Linked DNA regions of Drosophila melanogaster. The gene in region 1 interacts genetically with each later gene. Each region holds a gene or a part of one and is shown on either strand. Other genes may lie near its edges.

Region 1 (4,461 bases):
ATGAATCCGCCGCTGCTGCGGCAGTGTGCGCACAAATTTAGAATTTAGATGGATTTAGGCATCTCTTTTTTAATGGTACACAGAGCATGGTACATGGGCAGCTATTTTTATATCTTCGCTAGCCACGCCAGCCGACCGCCACAATTCCGCCCCGTTTTACCATTAAACGTTGACATCGCTTTTATGAATGCCTTTGGCTATCTGTTGGCATGCCATTAGCGCATCGTAAAGCCCGAAAAGGGGGGCAACGACTGCGAGGAGCATGACGTGGTGTGAATAACATCTAACCACTTGTTGGCCAGCCAGTGGTCATGGCTCGTTTGCCAATTTCTCATGGGTAGACGTATGCTGTATGCTAGGTCATCGAAACTATTACTGCCTGTCAGAGATGCGTAGCGCTCCCATGTCCAGGTTGAGTTCGGTGAGGATGTCGTTGGGCGCGGAGCCCTGCATAGTCAGGCCAGCGATCACCTGTTGCGCCTCCGGACAGTTGATGCAGGCGTTTCGGATGGCCAAGATGCTCCACTCCCGCATCACTGAGGGATAAAAAGTAAAATGTTAAGCTATGCTTTAGCTTGTTTCAAATATGTTTCTTACATGGGTTTCGAGCATCCATCGTTGTGCATTCAAGAAGCGTGGGCAGCAGCTGTGTGTCCAGGCAGTATCCCTTGTTGGCCTTGTTGTCATACAGAAGATTGGCGGAGCAGCGTACGAGTAACGTTTTGAGTTCATAGGACACCTTTTTTTCGTAGCCCGCATCAATGTCCGAAGTGAGTGCCACCTCTTCCAGCTTCGTCATGGGCTTATCAAGGCCGCCTCCATCCGGTTCCTTGCCAGCAGACACAATGCATCTCAGCAGGCTGCTCACGTTGATGAACAGCGATTGGTCGTTGGGATATACATTAGCATACTTCTCTGAGCCGCTTGCACTTGCGATGATGCGCAGTAAGGTGTGAACTTCACGTGGATGAAGCTCATGCTTAAGCTTTATCGTTTCACGCAGGAGGCAATCGGATTTCATGCGGAATTCTTTAGCAAAGTGCTGCAGTAAAAACAGCGTAACATCACCATTGGGACTGTTTTCCCTCAGATAGTGGGCCACGTAGTCGAGGAAAGCAACACGATCTTCAGTCTCCAGCTTTTGGTAACAAGCTACGCAGGCTCGTCCATTCTGGACAATGAAGTGCTCCAGGAAGAAGTGTAGATACTCGAAGTTATAGGTGCACTGGGCTTCGTTTAGAGCTCGCCACAGTTGCAGACAAGTTTTAAGTGCCACCAAGTCGGTGATAAGACCATGACCACTGATATATATGTTGTACATGATCATGAGGAGCACATTATTCGAACTTCCCAAGGGAGAAGCGTAAGCTTGTTCGGCGATCTTCAAGCCATGCTGACTCCAGATAAGTGCTTGGGTGGTCTCATTGTTAACCACACTATTGGCTAGCACCTGCAGAGATAGATTGTGTATAAGCCGATGCTCCGTGCGCATCACTGGACTGAAAGCCACAGCATTTAAAAAGCTGGAAAACTCCGCACTTTCAGCCAAAGTCTCTTGGTTTTCCCTGCCTTTTGTGAGCAAAAGTCGTAGGTTCTTGAGTAATGCCGAGATTTCCTCCTCATTTTCGGTTATGCTCAGGCGCACGAGCTTGTGTACCAGCTCTTTAGTTTCGCTTTTCTGGGGTAAATCATTTATTTAAATAAATCTCGCGAGAATAACAATAATATTTACCACATGCTCCATTTTCGATAGACCCACAGCTGTTTGCCGCCAAGTGTAATCGATTGGCCAGTGCAGCGCTAGCCAACACTGTCTCAATTGGGTCAACGGAGTGTGGCCACACTGCGCTCCACAAAAGAAAACAAAAGAAAAGGGAGAAAAGCAATTTCGTTTTGGGAAATTTTCTAAGTCATGTAGCAAACGAAACGCTACAGCGAAATCAAGATAAACAAAGCAATGTCACTGCGTGCGCTTCGGAAAAGAGAAACAGGCACTGGCTACGGCAACAATAACAACCATTTAGCAGCACCAGCAAGAACTTCACAAGCAACGCTCTTTAAGAAGGCCAGCACAGCAATAACGTCACCGAAGAAATCGTTGCTCAAAACTGGGAACTCCGTCTGCGGATTGGACAAACGGAGTCAGTTCCGGGAGCAGAAGCTACTCGGTCGCAAGTGCCACTCGAGTCCTGACCTACGACAAATCGGAAAATACCAAAACAACAGCCTGTTGCGCAGCAAATCGGAGGGGGATGTTAGTTTAATCCTGGCCAGTAACTCCGGTGCTCCATTGACGGTGGCAAACGCCAAGTCAGAGGTTTGCCTGCAAAGGATTAGCTCTCACAGTTACGAACAATCTCCGAGAACGCCGATAAACAAAAGCGAAATGCTCGGCGGTGCACGTTCCCATCGCGACCTGACGCAGTCGTCCTATGGCAACCAGGCAGGTGGACATTCCGTGGATTTGGAATCCAGGTCTAGAACTCCTCGGCGGATGAGCGAGTGCAGCTTGGGCTACAGCCAATCCAGCTCCCGGCACACTGGCTCCAACTCTATGTTCGCCAGCCAGATGACTCTCTCCTCGGGATCGGTGGTGCCGCCCGTGGACCCCAACGCTGTGCTAAGGGTGCCCATTATTGGTTACGAGGTTATGGAGGAACGTGCGCGTTTCACTGCCTACAAGCTGCGAGTCGAGAATCCGGAGACCAACGACTATTGGCTTGTTATGCGACGCTACACCGACTTCGTGCGGCTCAATAGCAAGCTAAAGCAGGCTTTTCCCAACCTTACGCTCATGCTGCCCCGGAAGAAGCTTTTCGGCGATAACTTCAATGCCGTCTTTCTCGACAATCGGGTGCAAGGTCTGCAGATCTTCGTCAACTCAGTGATGGCCAAGGAGGAGCTGCGAAAGTGCAAACTGGTTCGGGAGTTCTTCTGCCTGGACGAGCCGCCTTCGTACTCTGAATCCATGGAGGAGTGTCGTGTAGGATGATTTCTTTTTCATGTATTTATCAAATCTATATAAGATTTCATTTACTTCTAGGCAATTTTCGAAGCTCAGGAGGAGACAATTGAGCATCTGAAGCTGCAGATTCGAAATAAAAACGATCTCATTCTCAGTTTGCAGCAGAAACTGCGCGAGGAGATGAACGAGAAGGAGCAGCTGAGAGAAGCTATGAAGTAGGATAACAATTTCTTTTACAAATGCAAAAATCTCATTAGCCAATCTCTCTCTACAGAAATATGGAGCTTAATTGCTCGCACTGCTCCTCAGCTAGCGACAGTTTGGGAATAAAGTAGACCTTCGCCAATCGGAGGTGATAACCAAAATCCAGTTGGACGTGCGTGTGCGTACAACATTATGCTGAGCATAACTCTACGCAACTGCGCCGCTTGGATGCAAATCCAATACAATAATACAAACCAAGTGCATATCGAGGGGTTGGCCCCTACAGTGCTTTAGTATTCATATCTAGACCTAGATGCTAGCAAAGTGCTGCCCACGCTGGTACTATATGGAATACGATAGTAGATATTTTTGATATTCGTTTACGAGGCACTTACAGTTAAGAATGAAATCACTAGACTAAGTGTATACGATATGTTATGCAAACTCACATACAAAATAAATCTAAGGCACAATTTATTACTCAATGAAAATGGCATTTATGAGTTGAAAATTAATTTAGTGTTCAAGATAAAAATATCCAAGCCACAAAGAAACGCTTTTCGAAATGCAATTCGACTGTGTTTGGAAGACTTACGAATATTACGCTTTAGTGTTAGTCGAAGTGATAATTAAAACGATTATGGTATTGAATCTATTTCTTAAAGGCTGGTCATCGCGGGTGGTCGGGCATAGGCTTTCGGGATGAATCCATATTTGCGGGTTTTCGGAGCATAAGCCCAAAGCCAGCCATCAACAGTCTGATTGGTTAAGTCTGCGTAAATCCAATCTCCTCTCCGCACAGAAAGGTACAGATCGTCTGGAGCTTGCGCTTTGTAATCATACAGCATCACCAGCTCCGTGCCATGGTAGCGTAGATCATCTGTTCCCAAGCCCAATTGAGGCTGCTGCTGTTGCTGGCTCTGCTGACCTTGTTGACCCTGCTGCAAAATGGTCTCCATGGCATTTAAAGTGGCTTTCTGTTGCTGCAAAACTCGTACACTGTCTGCAGGATAAATAAAGCTGGCTGGCACAAATCCTTCCTGGCCATCACTGCGCATTATCCAAAACCAATCGGGATCCTCGCGATTTAGCACGGTAACAAATTCACCCCGTTCCACAGACAAATCATTCTCGTCCCTGGCTATAAAGGTGTACAAGACGATACAGCGCCCGGAGGGTTCCTTCACGAAAGGAGTACACTCTGGCTCCACCAGCAGGGTGTTCTCTATGCTGTTGGCGGAGCCAGGATTCAAGGTTTCATCGCAAAGAACATCCAGCTTGTTATCCGTGCC
Region 2 (5,073 bases), on another chromosome or scaffold:
TAATTAAGCAGCAACAATCGAACTGCAATAAATCGAACCAATTAAGAAATGTAATTTCAAACTGAGTCACGGCAAACTTGTTTATTTGGCTTAAGTGAAGTGACTCGCAGTGTTTTCGTATTCAGTTTAAATACAATAATAATAGCAATGGAATCTAATATCTATTTATCTGTTTTCGTTCTTATAATGAATATTTATAATATTGTGATTAACATATTCAGGAAACTTGGTTTATAAACGTGTTTAAATGTGTGTTGTTGAGTTGGATAACTTAAGGTATATTTGTTAAGTAAATGAATTGGGATTTTCCAAGAGGGGTTCTTTTTTGCAGCTTGAACAAAACTTCCACAAAATACAATGACTCACCTATAAAAGTGGCAATTACGAAGGCAATCATCAGCCACAGCCAGCACTTGTAGGCTTTTTTCGAATGTTGCTCCAGTTTCTCAGCCTCTTTTCCTAGCGAATTGATATTGCGATCCGCCATTCCGGCGGAACGCGACACAACCTCCGTGTCTCTTCGGATAATCCTGTTGGCGGTCTCCGTCTGTTCCTTTAAGTTCCGAGTCAGCGAGAGCATGTGCTCGGTGATCTTCTCCTGGGCATTCGTATAATACTTGGCAGCCTGGTTCATGTTTTCACCAGAAGTTTCCTGAACGTTTGCGCTTCCAGAACTGGAGGAGGATTCATCTGCTCCTCGACGTCTTCGCAGGGCATCGGAATCTAAAATAAATGTTTTTTAAGTTATGAACTATTACATTTTTGAATTTAAGAAATTTTAAAATATGTACAAAACTGTTTGTTAATTCTTTATTACCCTGGAGCAGTTCCTTTCGCAGTTCGTTGTGATATTTGCTGTTTTGCAGCTGCCTTATTTCTTTCAGTGCATTTTCCCCAGTTTCGCTGACGGCTGAGGATTGTGAAGGAGTCTTTGTTGTGGAACCGGGAACGTCTGCATATCCGGTGGATATTTTAAGGGCCTGTAGGCGCTCCAAGTAGCCCGGGATACGTTTGACACTCTGCGGATCGCCCATCGCCTCCAGCTCGGCAAGCATTGTGTCCAGGGACTTAATGAACTTCTGCAGCCTCCAGAAGTTCTGTTCGCTTTTGGCCAGTTCCTCGCAGTTGGCCAGCAGGGTGCGAATATTTACATTTAGCTTCGTGGCCATTTTCAAGTTGAAAACATGAAAACAACAAAGTACAAATTCCTAAATTAAAATACCAGGTCGAAACCTATTTGTTGTCAGCAGCTGGTCCTATTAGCGATAGAAACTTATCGATAGGTTGTCGTGAGTAGTGATGAAAAATTATTGAGGATGTGTATGTAAAATGTAAGAATGTAAAAATGTATAAAGTAAAAAAAACATAACAAACAAATAATCTTCTAATCCTGTTAAAATTTAATTTTTAAAAATTTTTGAAAAAAAACATCAAGTTCCCAATATGCCATATTTATAAGCTTATGTCTACTTTCTCAAGATAACGTAATGCATTTATATTATTGCATGCATACTTCTGGGCGCGACTCGAAAATCTTATCAAACCTCTTGGCCAATATCTGAAGTTATCAATTAAACCGTTTTTGATAGCCACAGCATATGAGTAGTTTCACGCAAACGCACATTTTTGTTTTAGCTGTTGTCGTACGCCAGGTGTCAAGATCAAATGGCATACCATTCAAAGGTTGAATTTTTATAGTAGTTTTTTTTTCTTCATTTTCCTTAAGTGCCGTTACACGCAAGTGAGGTGTTATCAAACAGCTGACGGGGCAAAAACAATAAAACTCACCCTCTTTGTTAACGGTACTAGAGGCCATGAATGAAACACGACTTCGTTCTCTCTCGACTTTCTCTCACCGCTCTCTTTGGCGGTCTCTTCTTGCGCAGCAGCACCAGCAGTTAACGGTGCATGTTGAAAAGTTCTCACACAAACGTCGTGAAAATCGAAATCGATAAGTAAGCAACGGATTTTAGCTGCCCAGAAAAAGACCACAAATTTCAGTGAAAACCCAGCGATAAGAATCCCAAAAAGTACTAATCCAGCTGAAAAACAACCATCTTAACCGGCCATGTCCAAAAAAAGTGTTAGCCAAGTGTTTTGAATAACGTAGTTGGTGTAAATGCTTAAAAAAAATAAGCTAGTCCGGGGCCAGAGAAATCGATACGATACCCCCAAAAAAAGGGGGGCTGCTGCGTGGGCTGCCCGAGTGAAAATTTCCAGCTAAAAATAGTACTAGATTTGAGCTTGAAGAAAACCCTTGATTTCCTTTGCGTTTCGATGTCAGTTATCATTGCATTTCAGTTACATAAGTTTTGAGACCCGTTGCTGCGTAGCGAACCTATTAACGGCTTAAGGACCACACAACCACCCACATGTACCACCAACACCACCCATTTACACAGCCAAAAATAATCGGAAAATATATATATATAATAAATATCAGTAGGGCTACATTTTATCTAATCTTTAATTTGATAATGTTAGATTCTTTGATATAAGTCATGGCGTTAAAAATAAATCTCCCCTTTTAAGCCACTGAAATATAAATTTTTTTATATTAAAAAAATAAGATGGGATCTTAAATATCGTATCGTATTTTAATACCCGTATATCATATCCTCTCATAAAGCAATCATACTATTTACAGTTGCTAGAGGTAATGTAACACCATTAAGTCGGAGCTAAAATAGAAAAAAAAAGCCAATTGTAGAGTGACCCGATTGTCGTAGAAAAAGCCCCATGATGCAGCCGCCGCCGCGTAAGGTAAATCATAAATAAATCGAATTGATAAAGATAGTTCCACAATAATCATTCATCGTATACCTCGTAATCCTGCAGGGAAACTATGTGAAATTCCTCAAGAATTTGCACACGGAGCAGGTGGCCAAGCTGCAGCTGAAGAATCAGCATGAATGCGACCTCCTGGAGGACATCCGGCAGTTCACCATCAAGCGTTCCGCTGTCGAGAAGTCATACAGTGAGTCGCTGCTGAAGATCTCATCGCAGTATCTCAACAAGAAGATACCCAATATACCAGATATTAAGATGGAGGGCATGGAGGAACGCTGGTGGGTATTGCTTTCCAGCTAACTAGTAACGTTCTTTCGAGAACCTTCAGTCAATTTGAATTACCCACCTACTTATACGTAATCTCATAGGAACATGTGGAGCGTTTGGCGCACTGTGCTCGAGGAGAATGAGAAACTGGCTCGTGCTCGATTGGCCGCCATAGAGGTGTTTCAACAGCAAATCGCGGATGAGGCCAAGGTTCTGCGGGACTATAAGTTGGCCATAGCTAAGCGTTCGCTAGCCGGAATTGTCAATGTGCAGAAGGAACTCCATCTGAGCGTGGGCGATGTGGATAAGACCAAGAAATCATACTTTGACGAAGAGCATTGTGCTCACGATGTTCGGGACAAGGCCCGCGATATCGAGGAGAAGCTTAAGAAGAAGAAGGGCTCCTTCTTTCAATCAATCACTTCGCTGCAGAAGAACAGCGCCCGGGTCACATCTCGCAAGGAGCTGCTGGAGGAGAAGTCATCTGGCGCCCGGAATGACTACGTACTCAGCTTGGCGGCGGCCAATGCGCATCAGAATCGCTACTTCACCGTCGATCTGCAGACAACGATGACCACCATGGAGAACTATGTTTTCGAGCGGGTTGCCGAGTACCTGATGTTAATGGGGTAAGTGTATAATGGCATTGCTCATAAATTATAAACCATCCAGAAGTGCAAAATCGGTAAATCAATTATAAATTTTACAAGTTCAAAGCCATTTTCTAATCAATGTTTGCTCAAGTCGTCAATTACATTCTGATAATTTTTATGGCGCTACCTGATATGGCTCATAAAGTTATTAAATCATTTTATTTAATCTTATGACTCAATATGTACATATGTACATAACAGTGCTGTCTTAAGAAATCTTTATCTTAATGTTGCCTAACCATTAAAACACATCTTTTCCAGACGCACAGAGCTGTTGACTTGCTCGGCTACGCAGAATAGCTTCGGAAAGATCCGTGACCAGGCGCAGCAGTTGACGCGGGAGTACAACCTGCAGTGCTGCTACCTATTCTATCCGGTGCTGAAGCAGCACATCCAATATGACTTCGAGGCGTGCGACAATGATCCGGTGCGCAAGGTGACCGCGGAGCATGAGTCCGCCGCCGAGACGCTAACCAAGGAGGCCAAGAATCTGGCCGGAAGAGTGGTCAAGGAGAATGCCTCGATCAGGGAGAATGCCAAGAAGTTGGCCTTGTGCCAGTCGCTGCGAGACTCTGGCCAGCGCACGGATCCCAACGATCCAAATGGACCGGATCTGGACACCAAGATCGAGGAGTTCCGTGATCAAATCCGTCGATCCGAGACGGAAAAGACAAAAGCGGAGGCATGTCTGCAGTGCCTGCGCGATGGCGGCATTAACGTGGACGAGTGGGTGCAGGAGGCCGAGAATATGGGTGTACAGGAGCTGACGCGTTCGGCCAGTTCCATTTCGATGCGCACCGACGCCTCTGGCCAGGGCGAGAATCCCAGTTCCGATTCATTCTACGACAGCGACAAGGAGGAGACTCAGGCAGCTGCCCAAACGAAGCCCAAGCAGGAGCAACAGCTATCCAGGGATCGTACCTTCAGCGATAGTGAGGATGAGCCCGAAGTGCGTCCATCGGCAGCGGCAGCTTCTTCTGCAGCTGCTGCCTCGTCATCCATGATGGCCAGTAGCGCTGGTGGCTGGGATGATCCCACTGAGGTCAACTGGGGAGCTGGCGAGGAGGAGGACGACAAGGACGAACCGATTGTTCCAGAACCCAAGGAGGCGATCTTCAAGTGCACTGCACTCTACAGCTATACGGTATGTGAGCTTTAAAGAACTATATACTTTTTCTTGCCACTAATTTTTCACTTTTTCCACAGGCCCAGAATCCCGACGAGCTCACCATCGTCGAAAATGAACAGCTCGAGGTGGTTGGCGAAGGCGACGGCGATGGGTGGCTAAGGGCCCGCAACTATCGCGGCGAGGAGGGCTACGTGCCACACAACTATCTGGACATCGATCAGGAGACAGCGGGCA

What was found.
Region 2: of Snx16 (region 1) and nwk, changing one suppresses a phenotype caused by changing the other (phenotypic suppression), as found in Drosophila melanogaster (one study listed by BioGRID).

What each region holds. Positions count from the first base shown.
Region 1 is NT_033778.4:17,724,221-17,728,681, reverse strand, and holds Snx16 (sorting nexin 16), read left to right. Parts: upstream 1-1,834; 5' UTR 1,835-1,957; coding exon 1,958-2,983; intron 2,984-3,043; coding exon 3,044-3,180; intron 3,181-3,239; coding exon 3,240-3,300; 3' UTR 3,301-3,652; downstream 3,653-4,461. Other genes in the region: CG4975 (uncharacterized protein), read right to left, coding at 373-536, 598-1,678, 1,733-1,744; Dlish (dachs ligand with SH3s), read right to left, coding at 3,829-4,461.
Region 2 is NT_037436.4:9,135,935-9,141,007, forward strand, and holds the start of nwk (nervous wreck), read left to right. Parts: upstream 1-1,925; 5' UTR 1,926-1,955; exon of another isoform or gene 1,956-2,030; intron 2,031-2,647; 5' UTR 2,648-2,742; coding exon 2,743-2,763; intron 2,764-2,838; coding exon 2,839-3,068; intron 3,069-3,158; coding exon 3,159-3,686; intron 3,687-3,971; coding exon 3,972-4,854; intron 4,855-4,916; coding exon 4,917-5,073. Other genes in the region: Use1 (unconventional SNARE in the ER 1), read right to left, coding at 367-723, 818-1,169. UniProt on the Drosophila melanogaster protein: Adapter protein that provides a link between vesicular membrane traffic and the actin assembly machinery. Acts together with Cdc42 to stimulate actin nucleation mediated by WASp and the ARP2/3 complex.